2 linked regions of the Drosophila melanogaster genome follow. The protein of the gene in region 2 interacts with the protein of the main gene of each other region in a pairwise test. Each region holds a gene or a part of one and is shown on either strand. Other genes may lie near its edges.

Region 1 (8,573 bases), 4.1 Mb from region 2:
AGGCTTATCCACTGGCTTCATTTGCGGTGAGTTCTTCGGCGTCTTTTGCACCCTGGCGTACATGGCACTGATGTCATCGCGCGAGGTCGACGGAGCAGGCACAGACCCACTCACATACGCGGTGGAGCTTTCCGTAGGAGTCGGCGTGTGGTCTATAATCTGTGCCGCGGTCCTAACCTCGTGGTGGGGACTCCCTCTAATCCGCAGGCAGTCTTCCTCAATCTCCGAGTAAATGGGCTCGCTGTCGAAATCGCGCTGTTGCCGTGTGGTGGCCAACGATGTGGTTGCACCACTGCTGGGTCCGTCTGTGCAGTCGTAGCTCTCGGTTTGAAGATGGCTGATCTGAGGCTCATGGCGGTCAAAGCGGGAGCAGTCCTGCAATCGATTGAAATTATACTCTTATTATTGAAATACAAACCATATTAACGATATATTTATAAAAGAAGAGCCTTATTACTTGGATCAATAAACCAATGATTAACTAAATCTATTTGACCAGAAAGTTAGTAAGAACGAATCTTGCAATGCTACTTCGAGATACACTTTTTTAAATTTCGATAGACCGAGTACCGCCCCGTTATCGATATCAGCTGCAATGCAGCCCAGCGAAGGAAGGCGCAAAACAAGAAGTGAAAACAGCTGACAGCAGCAGATTTCTTTCCTCCACTCGGAAATTCAGACGCCATCCAAAAACACTAAAGAAACAAGAGGCTTTCAAGGGGACCAGGAGCTCGGGCTTATGGGGAGGCGCACCTGGTGAGATGTACAGGTCTCTGCTGCACAACGTTTCACTCAAGGCGACATCAAGGATTATCAGGCGCAGCGTGAGCAGCCAGGCAAAAGGAGCCAGCGGAAAGCGCAAACAAAAAGCGAAGGAGATGGAGTCGAGCCACGATCGGAATAGACGCTGGACGTCATTGGGGAATCAGGCTGAGGGTCGAGACCCGCACAAGTGCTCCTCCTTCAAGGTTGTCTCATATAACATCCTGGCCCAGGATCTGCTTCTGGAGCACCTCTTCCTGTACGTGGGAATCCCGCATGAGTTCCTCAGCTGGCAACGCCGCCAGCAGAACCTTCTCAGGGAACTGCTCAAACTGGATCCGGACATACTGTGCCTGCAGGAGATGCAGTTCGACCACCTTCCAGTGCTCGTCCAACGACTGCGTATGGGCAACGGCAAGAAGTTGGCTTATGTGTACAAAAAGAAGACCGGCTGTCGAACGGACGGATGCGCTATTGTCTACGACTCCTCAAAGTTTGAGTTGCTAGACCACCAAGCAGTGGAGCTGTACGACCAGGCGGTGGCTCTACTCAATCGCGACAATGTGGCCTTGTTTGCCAGGTTCCGATTCAAAAAGCAGCAGGAGCAGCAGAAGGAATTCGTGGTCGCCACCACGCACTTGCTGTTCAACACGAAACGGAGCGATGTCCGTTGCGCCCAGGTGGAAAGAATTTTGGAGGAGCTGCAGTCGTTCTCCACCGACACACCTATCGTCCTGACTGGTGACTTTAACAGTCTGCCCGACTCCTCGCCTATTGAATTCCTCGTTGGCAAGAATGGGGATGTGGATTCCACAGCTTGCCCAGAACCCCTGCATTTCGAGATCATCGATTCGGGCGAAGGTACTGCCTCCACATACCAGAACGAATGGGTTATCGTGGACTACATCCTGCGCTCGCTAGGATCGCGGAGCAGGCACAAGCTCTTGCCTCTCAGCGTCTACTCACTGCCCTCAATCAACCGGTGCATCGGGGCGGGACAGATCCCCAATTACCGTCTGGGGTCGGATCACTACGCCTTGGGTGCAGTATTCACCGTTGTCTAGTATTTAATCTCTTCATGCTTTCTTGGACTCATCAATAAAGGTACGAAATGAACATGCCCACTTATTATAAAGTAAAAGATTAAGGGAAGGGACTCACCTGAAAGGTTCTAACTGCGTGCTCATCGCTAGCCTCCAGCTTGGCCCTGATGCTGCTGAGCAGATAGCCCATTTTAGTGATGGTGACGTCCTGGTCGAGATCCTTGTGATACGAGCGATAGGTGGTGGGTGATGTTGCTGCTGCTTGAAAGTCCAGCTTGCGGGCTCTGTTTGCACGGGGCAGCTTCTTCGGAGGCGTCGGTGCCTTCACCTTGCGTTCGAAATCGAAGTACGGCTGCTCTGTGTCCAGCTGTTGGCGGGTGGATGTGGTCGTACCCGAGGGCGTGGTCTGCATGGGGGAGTGGTAGCTTCCCGGCGGAGACTGTGACTGCAGGTCCAGCTGCGAGGTAGATGTCTGTACGCCAATGGTGCACTGCTGGGGAGTGAATCTGTGCTGATCCAGCTGCGTGTGCACCTCCTGATTAGACTTCTTCGGCGAGACGAAGCGCAGGATCTTCTTTTTGGAGTTGTTCAGAAAGTTCTTGGACTTCTTTCCAAGGTTCTTCGGTTTGTTACCCTTCCAAGGAGATAGATTGCGCCACTGCTCGCTCCAGATGAACTTCTGGCTAGCCTGACCTCCTGCCGTGTTAACTCGACTGGGATACTTGATGGGCGTCTCCTTGTGCACCATATTTGATGCCAGGTTCTCGGAAACACTTCCGTCAACAGTGTCCAAGGAAACCTTTGGCACTACGGGCTGTGGCTGTGCTTTAGGCATTTGCCATCCAATGGCTACTTGCGGTTCCGCCGGTGTCCTAAACTCGCTGGCTGTCTTGCCCTCGTAGTTGAGCATATCGGTGATCTTGGGCTCTGTCCAGCCAAGAATAACCTCCTTGGTGGGCGCTCCTTTCCGCCTACTCTCCTGCCGAATATTCCGGTCGTAATTTGAGCCCCGCTTGGATTCCACTACGCGCTCAATGTCACTGAGCGAGGGGCAGGTGGGCAGTTGCTTGTTGCTCCTGGGATGCCTGGGCTTCTCTACCTCAGCTAAAGAAAGACGCAAAGCTCGTAAAAACATCGAAAACCAAGGAACCAATTAATGAAACCGTAAGCCAAATGTTTGGATACAAAACACTTTATTTGGTAAATACATTTGATTTTTGGTAAAAATAGTTTCTATTTGGTTACGGTTTCATTTTCTAGGGCTTACGGGTATAACTTACCCATGGGGAACGATCTGCGCTTGCTGTCTTTTTTGAGCGATGGTTCCAGCTTGCTCGTAGGCACCTGAACGCCACGTTTGCGCAGAAACTCGTCCAGCACTCGCTCGGCCTCCCGCACCGAAGGATTCGTGGAGGTGAGCGAGGATTGCGATAGCTTCCCGTCCAGACTTTGGGAGCTGCGACGCGGCGGCTTCGGAGGCGGCAGCTGCGAGTTCCGTGCCTTGAAGCTGACTTGACCCTGCGAGAGGCGCTTCTGCAGCAGGCGTCCACCTGCTCCGGAACTGCGTCGAGAGCGGGAACTCCTGCGACTTGGCGGCTCGGTGGCCAGCTCTTCTTTCTCCTGATCTTCCTCCACAGCGGATTCCTGTTCGCTGATGTTAGACAAAACAGGAGCTGAGGGCTTATAGGCTATGGGCTCATAGGAAAGCATTTTAGTAGGCTCTCTCTGTGTGCTCCTGTGCCGGCACCTGGAGCTAGAATCTGACAGTTTGTGGCGGTTCACGCGCACTTCGGACACCACACAGTTGTCGTGCAGCTCCTGGATGATGTGTATAAGCGGTTCATCCTCGCCGGCCACGGCTCTCAAGCGACTGACAGCAGTTAAGGGAGTTTTCAAGCCAGAATTTATGCTGGCCGGCTCGCTTCGACGAAGTTTCTCCGCCTGCTGCCGCTGGCTACCGAGATTGTTCTGCTTGGCGGGCTGTAAAATGTGAGTTTAATGAGGGAACTGTAGCGGGCTGGTTAGTGGCTTACCTTGGCGCTCTCAGATCGCCTGCTGCGCCTTGGTAGTCGCACGTGCTGGTCACGTGGCGGTGCCGTGGAGCCGCAGTCTCCGCTGTCGCTGGTGAAGCAGTAGCAGAAGCCGTTCTGGCACGGCTTCCCCTTGCGCTCCTGCTCCTTGTTGCAGCGATTCTGGTTGATTAGGTCCGCATCCGTGGTTCTGCGGACTCGGGGAAGTTGTCGGGACATGTTGATGTGGTTATTGTTGGTCTCGCAGTCGCGACTTTGAGTGGACACACGGCGAATGCGGCGTGCCCTAAACTCGTCGATGCACTCCTGCAAACTGAACGACGATGTGGAACCAGACTCGGCGGAATCCTCCTCCTCCTCCTCCCCCTCTTCTTCATCAACTAGAACATGTTTGGAGAACTTTGAGCCTACAAAAGTCTGGAGGCCAATATGCTGTTCATTTGCACTTGTGATTAAATAGCGATTTAATGCTTACGGTGGCCATTTTGCAGTCTATGTATTTATGGAGCTGATTAGACCAGCTGCATGTGCTCCACTTTTACACGTTGCACGCTTTCTACTCCGCTTCTACTTCGTGTTTTTCCAATCAAATGAAAAGCGACGCCTCGCCTGCATTTTTGTTTTCCGCTTTGTGCCGCTTCTTCTTTATCAGCGAAAGAGAGAGAGGAGAGAGTGCATAACAGCCCTGTCTTGCGTCAGAGATTGGGCAATTGGCTGGTATAACTCAGGCAGCACTATATTCATATGCTTGAAATTGTTATTATTTATACAATTGTTCAAATGGGCTTTACTATTTATTATTTAATTCAGCGCGGAATAGGTTCATATTTAAAAGAGGATGTGCTAGAGATTAATTATGTTCCAATGTAAGCTGGGGTTATAGGGGTTATAGCTATAAAACATAATGTTTCTAGCTAACTCGTCATCTCTGGTCAGAGAGAATCAGCTGTTTGCGGCATGCTATTACGTCGTCTCTTATTTGGAATTGTAAAAAATAGTTAAAAATTGTTTTGAATTAAAAACAAATACAGAATGTCAAACAGCCACTTGTTCTTGAAGTCCGGCTTCCCCCGTGCACCCCTGCAAAATGGATTGGGACGCTATGTTTGTCAGCTCCAGCGGATCACCCTGAAGTTCTGCAAGAATAATGGATCCAGCAGAGGCATGCGGTAAGCAAAATCCTTAAATGTTTACATATAAAGTAAAATTAATCATACGAAACGTTCAATAGCGACTTCATTGAGAATCACTTGCTGGACTTTGCCAAAGAGAATCCCGGGATTGTGGTCTATGTGAAGCCCAGGCGCCACCGCACGCCAGTTTTGGTGGGAGAGTACTGTACGTATACATAATGTATAAGGATGCTCCCTAGAATACACTTTAAATATGTCATCCTGTTCCAGTGAACGGCGAGCGCGAATGGATGAGCTGCAGGAACAGCACCCAAGAGGAGATCTCCAAGTGGATTGACCTGCTAAAGACTCAAAACGGCAGCTCCAGCTCCCTGCGACTCCGGAAAATGTGGCATACCGAAGTGCCCTCCATCCAAGGCCCGTGGACGCCATTCCTGCTGCGTTCGCCGGATGCCCAAGGCCAGGCTTACCCCAGTGCCGAGGCGTCAAAGCCGCTGGATACGCCGCAAACTGCCACCGAGAAGCTCATCGAGTTGTTCCGGCAACAGCAACTGGAAGCTGGCGAGGAAGCACACGACGTGCTGAACAAAAAGCGGGCCGAGTGATAGGGATTAGGACTTTTTGGTAATTGTTGCTTTTATTTTTATAGTCAACATAGTTTTGTTGGTAAACAAATAAATATTTAAAATCTAAACCACTAAACTTGTGCCTCCATCGCTGGAATATCGAACCAAAAGTCATAGAAAAATGCAAACAACTTATTGTCCCCTTAGCTATGTTGCCTTTCAGATAGTTTCGATATGTTTCGGGTAGTTGGAATATCATTGTGGGAGTATCATAAATAATGCTTAAGGTTACCGACCCCTTGGAGGCTTGGAATACGAATACGAATACGAATACAAATACGAATAGAAATAGAAACAGGTTCTGGTGACGACTTAGCATAACCAACTTAGCATCGACTAACGACTGCAGGTGAGATGGGTGGCTCCGATCGGCGGCGATCGGTTAAGTACGCAAAGGTCTGACTAAGACGTTGATATAGTTACTTGCGGGTGCACACAGCGAGTTTGGGAGTATCAAAAAGTAGACCACGAATAAGTAATTGCTTATGTGCCGAAGTATTTTCCATCTAACACTTAAAACTATTGTACATATAGTTACTTTCACACGTACGATCAACGATCAACTTACACACCGATAAAAGCATTTTGCTCGAGTTTACAATTTCCGTTTAGTGAATTCCTTTGGCGAAATGCATTTGGTTCTTCCTAATTATTACTACATAGACCTTGAGTACACGAATGTTAACGTTGTCATCAAAATAATCAATACGGACGTCTTTACACTTTTGATATTGTTGTCAATGTTATATCACTAGTTGAACTAAATTAAACTTCTCCTTAAACCCATGTCTTTTTTCCATTCTTTCCCAGCTCTGCTTCATCTCTGCCGCTGCTGGCCCATATTTATACCTAGATTTTGTATTTTGGTGGTGATGGTGGTGGTGGTGGTGTTGGTGGGTGAGCTTTAAGCAAGCGTTTTCCATTCGCAACTAGCTACTGGCTGCTTTTTGGTTTCGATATATAGCCTTTCGTTCATAGCACGCAATTGCAGCTCAGCTCGCTTTGCGAATCTCCTCAGATATCTCCCGTTTCCATGGCTGCGTTTATGTCCGCCACAATCTTTCCCATCACCTCGCGGTAGGGGGAATCTGGTCGGAAAGCCGTCTCCAGCAGCGCCTCCTCGCCGAAGAAATCGAACACCTCGTCGATGCGGCCCAGCGACTTTTCTGTGAGATGCGGCTGCACAATCGACTTCAGCGCCACTTGCGATTCGGCTATTGACTTTTGCAGGTACGGCAGGTCGAACGTGAAGTCCACTTCGTAGAATGATATGATGGACAGCTGCGTGTTCTGCAACAAAAAAAAATCATAATAACATGTAGTTAAGGAGTAGCATTTAAGACTCACTTGAAACTTTCTCTTAAAGAGCTCCGCCTTCTGCAGCTCCTCGTCGCTGAACTGATTGTTCCGGTGGAGCACACCGATCTTGATCACAATCTTGATGATGTTCTTGATCAGCTTCTCCGCCTTGGCCTTGTTCCCCGTGTGCATCTTGCAGAGCCTGTAGAGGTTGTCCAGCAGCGACGCCGTCGTGCCATCGATGAAGGTCTTGGCGATGTTTTTTGTGGCCATGCGTGAGAGGATCTTCTTCTGCGCCCGCAGCCCGATATCGTGCGACTTGAAGACATTGTCCGCCATGACTAAAGCGGATGGGAGGGGTGGGATTGGAATTCAGATTCAGACATTATTATCGCTGCATATTCATTGACTAAAGCATTGTGGCAAAGAAATACGAGCAGTACGAGCAAACAAAACGGAGCAACAACTCAGCAACCAAGGAAAACTTAAAACTGAACACTGAATGGTGGCAACTGAAAAGCAAATCAGCTCCGCTCTTCTCCGCGGTTTACCTTCCAAGTTCCAGTAGTCGACGCTCCACAGCAGCAGACATTGTCGAAGCCCGGCCACCGACATCGCGACTATATATCACACATATATTACACCGATTCCAGTTGCAAGCATTGATAAGGGAATTATAGACAGAGATATAAAAACATGAATGATTGGGCCATGTACATCAGCGCCGTATCTTTAGATAAAGGAAACCTGGTTCTTTCTTCGCTGTGCTTCTGTGTTTCTTTGTGCTTTACGTGAAGTGGGCAATAAAACAGTCTGTGTGGCCTACGTTTAACTACAATGAGTCACTCAAATGCAATTACTTTTACCTATAGTGCTGGGAACTGAAACATTGGAGGAGAGTCCTGTAGGACTGAAGTCTGTTTAGACTAATAAATGGAATCAACTAACATAAGTCACATTTCTATTTAAAGAACAAAACAAAACGATTAATGTACGCACAACTTTATTTGTAACGAATAATTTCTTATCGAGTGTTCGTCACAAGCTTTTAACAAACAAAACAGGAATCTAACGATAATAAGACATTCTGGGGAATTCGAATTGGGTTATCATCGTAAACACAACATAAAACGAATAAATTTGATATAAGGAATTTAATGTACAGTCAAAGTTAGAGCTCCGCTGCTCCACAACTTTGCTGCTTTCCACACACAGATATAGGAATGCTGCCGTATTAATAATGGATGACCAACTGCGCCCCTCTGACCGTATCTATAAGGTCGTTCTAACGGCGCGGCGTACGTGCTGGAGCCCGAAATGGAAATGCGGCAGTGCTTCCAACTGTCCAAACAAGGAGTCCCGATCAGAGCTAGTTGGGTGACGGAGTGCTGGGGGGAGGAAACCGCTGGCGGGTCAACAGAGTTCAGACACACATAGGTATTAACTAGAAGTCGTGACTAAGCCTAATCTGGAGCAGGGCATCCCTGGTTGCTAATTTAACTAAGTGAATGCCAGTTCCAGTTAGATAACGCCCGGCAATAGAACCGTGTCAGGACACGGACTGCTCCAAATGGCTAAGGTCACGCGAAGTGCAATAAAAGAAGGCCTATCCCTTCAAAGGAACGGAGTGTGGGTCCCCCAAGGACGCCAGTGGAGTGCGGAAGTGCGCTACAGCCGAAA
Region 2 (7,078 bases):
ATAAGAGAAGCAATTCTAACATTTCTAACATGGGTTGTTATTAAGATGCATTGTACCTTTAATTTCATTACAGTTTAAGATTGACTGTTTTTAAAGACGTATAATAAATTTCAGAGCTTTGTCTTAATTGCATTCCATCTCCAGCCCAGCGTTTTGACCTGGAAATTCTTTTGGTGTCGACACTTGATCCTTTGGCATTCCGGGGCCAATTTCCGCACGCATTTCGCCATTCCGGCTGTTTAACTCATCACCTACCGTGACACCTGGCGATGATTTTCCGGCTGGCACACGTAGCAGCTATCTAAATTTCAATTAGAGTTTAAACCACCCGCACCGGAAGAGCTGAGCTCCCGTGGCGTGTTCCAGAAACCTGGTAACTTCTGCCCCACCAGCCCACTGGAAATAACTCAGCTCATTAGTTGCATGTTCATGTGCGGCAGCATTTTTTGCCGAGCTTAAATCACTAGGTGGCTGCCAGTTGAAGAAGGTAAGTAACGTGGCACCCCCCACTATTACATCTCGAGTATATTTACAATATACATTTTTCTGCATTTTTTTTTTAAAGGGGGTACAGGTACTTTTTTGAAAATGGCGCATCATAAATTTGTTGAGAGGGATTTGGTTCGGGGTATCTGGGCAGGTTTTCCTCTTGAGTAACGATACTTAATAAACCCGCATCATTTTCCCATTTGGTGCTCGCACTTCGCACGATCCCCTGCCCCAGAACCATCGAGATGCCACTTCCACTTCCTGTTCCTTTTGCTGCTCCCAAATTACCTGTCATTTCGAAATTATGATACCAAGGAATCGCTGGTGGCTATGGATGTTCTGCCCCCTGGTAAGACAGCTTCCTGAGGATGCAGGAACAATTTTTATGTTTATGGCAAAAAGCGACGCCTAATTTTATTTTCTTTGCCGCGGGGCCGGATGCCTTCCCGACACACATATCTCAAACTAATGCCAAAAACGGGCAGAATGTAAAACCTTATGCGCATTTTCCGATTGTAATCTCTAAGTAGGATGGGCGTATGTATCATTTTGTGGAATCATCCGGCTCCAACTTGCCTGTCAACAGGCCTCACACATGGTTTTTTACTCAAAGTAACATGACAGCTCGATGATATTCCCCCAAAGTGGACATTTTCAGCAAGGTGCCGGAGTAAACATGGCATCCGGAAAATGGCTAATATGAGATTTACTTTTTGCCAAAAGCTGACAACTCAGACTTTGATTGGTCGCAAGGACTTGAGTTGTGTCATAAACCAAATGAAAGTCACAAAGGCCACTAAGGATGAGCTAAAGTCCATGAAGCAAAGGCTTGTTTATTATAAAAAAAAATGGAAAGTATTCTTAAAGTTAATTTAAAATTGCATGCCAATCAATGGAAATTTGGCACAGTGTACGACGCTCGTCGATTTCATATTTATTTTAGATTCCAGCTGCCATGATTTGTTTTTGGTCAAATTTTTAAAAAACTATAAACTTGTGAACTTAATTTTTGTTGTTTTATTTAAGTCAACAAGTAAACGAATATACCAGCTAAATTTAAAGCGTTTGAGTCATCCTGATTTCTTTCGCTCCTTCGTCGACGACAATTTGGTTAGATGACTGGCAATATGATCCTATATTCAATTAGTTATAGGTCTAAATTTCGGGTTTCTAGCTGCTGGCCGGCAACTTTCCATCGAGGCTTCGGACCAGGAGGACACCGGCACAGAATGCCAGGGAACACTTGACGAATGACCAGGAATGATAGTCCCTGTAAACGGCCTTACACCACTCCATCGGTTTCAGCTGTGACCAAGGTGACATATTAGAGCCTGAAAAATTTGCAGCGGAACGAACCTAATGGATCGGGAGAATTGTGGCGGGAATGGCAATGAATTTCGATTTAATCTGGCTGGATTACTTACCAATTTGCGGCGTTGACGTGATGTGTACACCCCCGTCGGTTGGTATACTTGGAAAATATTTGTTTTATCTGCTGCCCAGGTATATAGAGCAGAAACGAATGGCAATTTCATGACACACTTGCTCAAAAGAATTTCTGATTTTGGTTTTTGCGTATACATTTTTCAGAAATGCAAACGAGCAAGTGGGTCAAGACAGCCAGCCAGCGGGCAGATGTGTTGATTTGGCAAGCTTGTTAATTAGCCAAGAAATTTATTTGCGAACCATACACACTAACTTATTTACGATAAACAGATTAACTTATGCCCCATGTGCATATTCACTTCACGGAGCTGCTAAAGTTCTTCTCATTACTCAGGCACTGATTGCAAATGGTACAGAAGATTTGCTGGAATGATACAAATTGCCTTTTAATGGGAAACAAATTTGACCAAAGAAATTATAAAATTAAATAACTAGTAGGGGCTAGACCACATAAGGTATTCCATTTGCTAGTAAGATGTACCGAGCGTTCCTTTCTTTTTACTTGCTGAATGAAGTCGAACTATATGCACCACGTCTTTAAAGTTCTTATAGATTTATCAGAGAATCTTTAATTAATAGTCCGAATCATTTACAGTTAAAGACTTGAATTCAATATTTATAGAACAAATCATTAAAAAAAAAGTATAGCCTACAACTTTATACTTTTGGAGCGTTACAGTTCATCTCTATTCCCCTTACTGGGTCTGAATACTTCACTTACAGGCAGCGAGGATCGTGCATATCCTCCACAACCTCCTTGCGAGGATCCTGTGCTCTCGAAGTGTCTCAGCCATGACTTGATGACATTCGTCGGCGGCGTTTGGTAAATGCTGAACTGCTTCTTGAAGAGCCGCTGGGCGGTGCTGATGGAGTCATTGCTCTTGTAGTAGGCGCGTATGACGAACGCCCGGTGCACACCCGTCCACTGATCCATTCCGAATGCAACTGGCGCCGCCGAGGGAGATCGAAAATGCCATGTGCCATGTGCCCACTGGCATCGCTGGTGCGACAGTTTTCGCTAGCACTTCCGGCTCACGGTCGTCGTAAAAAAGCGGCGCTCGTTGCCCCAATGCTACATACAAATATTGTGTACAAAAAATATTCCAACATTCATAATTATTTGAACGAAATTAATTGGTCGTACCGCGAGGGGGGAGTGAGCCGAAGGTGGGGGTGCTATATGTGGTGCATCGTTGATGGTCTAAAATTATACACCGCACGACGGCTGACGCGGCGTATGAGCAATCTGAATTTCTTCTTGTTAGGAATTCATTCGCGGCCGGCCGTGCGCTTAAGTTTCAAGTGCAAATTGAGGGGGCACCATCCCAGCGCTCGCGACCAATCCTTCAGCTATCAATCAATCAATCAGGCAAAGCCATCATCATTATGCTTCATCAGCGCCAGAAGTACAGTCATCAATGGGGGGCGGGGGCGTAACTGGAAACGGGGGCGATGTTGGAGCTCGATGGGCGCTCAAAATCTGCTTGAACTCATTTAAAGTTTGGCTACAAGCTAAATCCGCTTTGCGAATTTGGCAAGTGAGTAAGCAGTTGGCACAGCCAAAGTCTTTAAGCTGTTTTGCTGGCTCTATTCTATCGGAGATACTCTAGCATTTAGCTGATTGGTGTGCCCACTTTTTACATACATGCTTTGAGAAAAATTTATTTTTATTATGCAATAATGTGGGTTTTTGCCTAAACACAAGTATAAATAAATACTATCCTAAAATTACAAAAATTTTGATTTTAAATCTTTTTACTCAAGCAGATATTCCGACTGTTTTCAGCAATACCAGCTATATAAATGTAAATTTTTACATATGTTCTGACTATAAGGAGAAGTGCTTCTTAAATGTTTATACGAAAAGTGTATTCAAGACTTTTCAAACGAGAAGACCCCTGCTGTTCTTGGTGCTTCTTTGTTGATTTTGTTTCAGAGATTTTTTTCGCCTCGCCATTTTGCTGGACCATCGAGCACGTAACTGCAATACAATGCACGGCCATCGCTTAGATAGATATAGATATAGATACATTTATGTAGTTTTTGTTGGGGCTGTGCCTTGGCCTTTGTTGCTGCTGCAGCAAAGTTAGCAAATGCTGCTGTCGCTTTGCCATTTACACAGTTAGCCGGGCTAACAGGCGGAAAGGGCGGCTTCAAAAGTGGGCGGCGAGAAAGGCGGACATCCATCCATCGCACGTCCTGCCCACTCCTCTTGGATTCCAGTGTATGTCTATGTGTGTGTAAGTGTGTGCATCCTTCGTTTCCCTTTTTTTTTTTTGTTAGCTGTCTCTGCTTGTCATTTTGACACCTTCATTTGCTCTGAACATTCAGCTCCAGTCAGGGTTCAGTGATTCTGTTTGCTTTCGTAACTTTTTTTCTCCCTTCCAGCAAAATTCGTGTGTGTGAGTGTGATGGTGTATCTGTGTGGGCCGTTTCGAGAGCGTCATTTCGGCTGAAAATGCTTTAAAATGGAAAATCTGGGGGAAATGCAGCACCCTACGGCCAGATTACAAAGGAGTTAACGAATGCATTGTCTGCTAATTGGCAACAAAAAAAGTGATAAAACTCTGATATTATATAATTTCATATTTTTATTAGCCTTGCTTTAATGTTTGGTGAACGGAAACAATGGTGCACAACTAAGAGGTTTAAACAAAAACAGTTAATTACAAATAATACCAATTGATTTTGATACATGTGTATAAATTCTTATTTAAAAGAATATAATGGTTCTGCCCATTTTTTTAAAACTTTAAAGACTTTATTAAATGACTGTACACATAGCTTATTTATATACGCACTTTGCACCCTAAAAATACATATACTGAACATTGTAAGAGCTATAGACATTAAAATGCAACTGAATAAGCATGATATTGCATCATACAATGAAAATGCGAAATTATTTGGAAATTAGGCAGCTGCTTGTGTACTAGTTTGGATTCTTTTTACTTTGCATAAATAGATTTTTAACTTAAAATATTACAATGCCGAATCCTTTCTTTATCTGACCCTTTGAACTGAAATGCCTGAAGAAAGACCCGCAGCTTTATATAAAAACGAACGACCAAAAAAGAAATGTAGAGGAAAAAGCAACAATGCCAAGACAAATGATCCAATGACTGTCTGACTGCACTTTGCCCTATATCAACCAACCCAAAAAAAAAAAAAAGAAAAAGGAAAAAATCTAAAGAAAATGTATCGGGTTAGCTCGTACCACCATGTATTCCCGGTAGCTGTCTCAATTTTGGTAAGCGTCCGTTTTTGTATGTAAAGTTGGTGGATTTGGCACCACCCACACCACATAGATGATGATGACAGCGGGCAGCGCAAAAAGCAACTCCGAACTGGGTCAAGACTTCATTGTTTATCTTTTTTTTTGGAACACTAGAATCTGTAAGGGCTAAGAGCCGGAAAAGAGGATATCCACACATACTTTGCAGCCCGCATCCCTGGGACTTCCTTTTCGAGCATACTTCAACTGGCAAATTAGCAGGAATCCAAGCTCACTTACGGTTATATATTAAATTTTGCATGGCAAATGCGCCAAAGAAGGTCAAATAGCTGGGTGGCTGGGGCAGCCGGACGCTTTCATAAGCATTTCACTTTCCGGCGGGGCCGCAGCTTAGCACACACTCTCACACACCTTAAAAAATGCAAAGATTTGGTCAGTACTTAAGCCAAAAGATGTAATAATTCCAAATACTGATGACACTTACTCGACACCAAAAATAGCTTTTAAAAAAAACTATAAATACATTTCTAAACCCTACAATTGCTTATAAAATTTGCATAAGCATAACGATTTTATCTCCGTGCAGCAACGGAATTTGCGAAGTTCGCTTGGTTGTAAATCTGGCTAAAGCAGGATAGCAAGCTCCGGCAGATGCAGCGGAAGCGGATGCAGGATGCTGGAAGCGGGTGGAGCTAAGGATGCGCGATGCGGTGGGCAGGGGTAAACCCATTGCCCAGACACGCGCGGATGTAAGGCGTTGATAGCGTCGGCTTATCGGCCTTCCGAGAAGCGGGAGCTGGCGCTCCCAGGATGCATCCTGCTGGGGGACACATTGCGTGCGCGAGCATTAAAGGAGTCTTAAAGAGGGGGTGGTATGCTGCGATCGGGAATCAAGTGAAAGTTGGCAGCCAGAAAAGGCCACTTACTTAGCGACCCTTAAACAGATTTACCTCACTTATGACTTGTAAAATGGTCAACATTTATTTGGCCAATAAAATCTGCGAAAAGTCTTTAAATAACATAGTATTCCCAATTCGAACATCCTAATGCGATTCCGTTAGCCGTCATCAAGTATACTTTATGGAGCACCATCTACAAATATTAAGGAAGCTCGAAGAATTTGCAAAAGTAAGACACAGTTCGTTTGACTGTCAATAAATAACTATACACTTTCAAAATTTCAAATCTAATTCAATATTTGCGGACTGATACAGCTTAACCAGAACAAATTTACTATAGAATGTATAAATGAACACCGAACAATAACTAAACTATTGCATAGTCTCGGGCTAAAAAGAGTAGTTAGAACGGCGCAGCCATAAAGTGTGCTACGACTTCTTGATTAGCAACAGGTGGCGCCTTAGTGGAAATTATTTTTTTAAATAATCTTTTAATCTTTAATCTTTTTAGTAATCCGCTTAACCAATGACTTAAATGGAATTCCATTTTCTACAGATGGTTGGAAGGTCACCATATGGGGATAATCTGGAAATCACTTGAATACTGCAACAAGTGCTGCACGGTGCGTTAAGTTGGAGCACACAACGATAGGCATGCCCATATACAGTTTAATCCATACTTTATGACGCAAACATTACTGAACAGTGTGGTTTTGGTCTTGGGACCTTCGACTACTACGGTGCGTACCCATTATGCAGACCCATCCCATCCTAGCAGAATCCAAACATATAGCCACCCACCCATAGACTAAATAGTTTATGTTGTTTACCTTCAGCTGACTATTGTTGCCGCTCTGGTCTGTGCACTTTGGCATTAGGGGTACATGGAGCACGTCCTGGACACTCAAAGTCATGTGTGGGTTTTTCGAAGTGGGTGGGTTTCAGTAAGAGGAGAAGAAATTTCTCGGAGAAAGTTGAACGCAAATTATCAAAAAGAATTAAGACTTCT

The links.
Region 1: the proteins of CG18367 (region 2) and CG30183 interact in a two-hybrid assay, tested with the Drosophila melanogaster proteins (one large-scale study listed by BioGRID).

The regions. Positions count from the first base shown.
Region 1 is NT_033778.4:23,693,357-23,701,929, forward strand, and holds the start of CG30183 (uncharacterized protein), read right to left. Parts: upstream 4,469-8,573; 5' UTR 4,320-4,468; coding exon 4,311-4,319; intron 4,253-4,310; coding exon 3,839-4,252; intron 3,786-3,838; coding exon 3,086-3,785; intron 2,910-3,085; coding exon 1,924-2,909; intron 1,877-1,923; exon of another isoform or gene 1,827-1,876; coding exon of another isoform or gene 762-1,826; exon of another isoform or gene 647-761; intron 376-646; coding exon 1-375. Other genes in the region: angel, read left to right, coding at 762-1,826; mRpL43 (mitochondrial ribosomal protein L43), read left to right, coding at 4,868-5,004, 5,067-5,173, 5,239-5,573; sigmar (salivary glands marred), read right to left, coding at 6,609-6,884, 6,942-7,234, 7,445-7,508.
Region 2 is NT_033778.4:19,632,451-19,639,528, reverse strand, and holds CG18367 (uncharacterized protein), read right to left. Parts: upstream 2,870-7,078; coding exon 2,657-2,869; intron 2,300-2,656; coding exon 2,231-2,299; 3' UTR 2,129-2,230; downstream 1-2,128. Other genes in the region: CG43277 (uncharacterized protein), read right to left, coding at 1,660-1,812; CG42753 (uncharacterized protein), read right to left, coding at 3,868-4,122.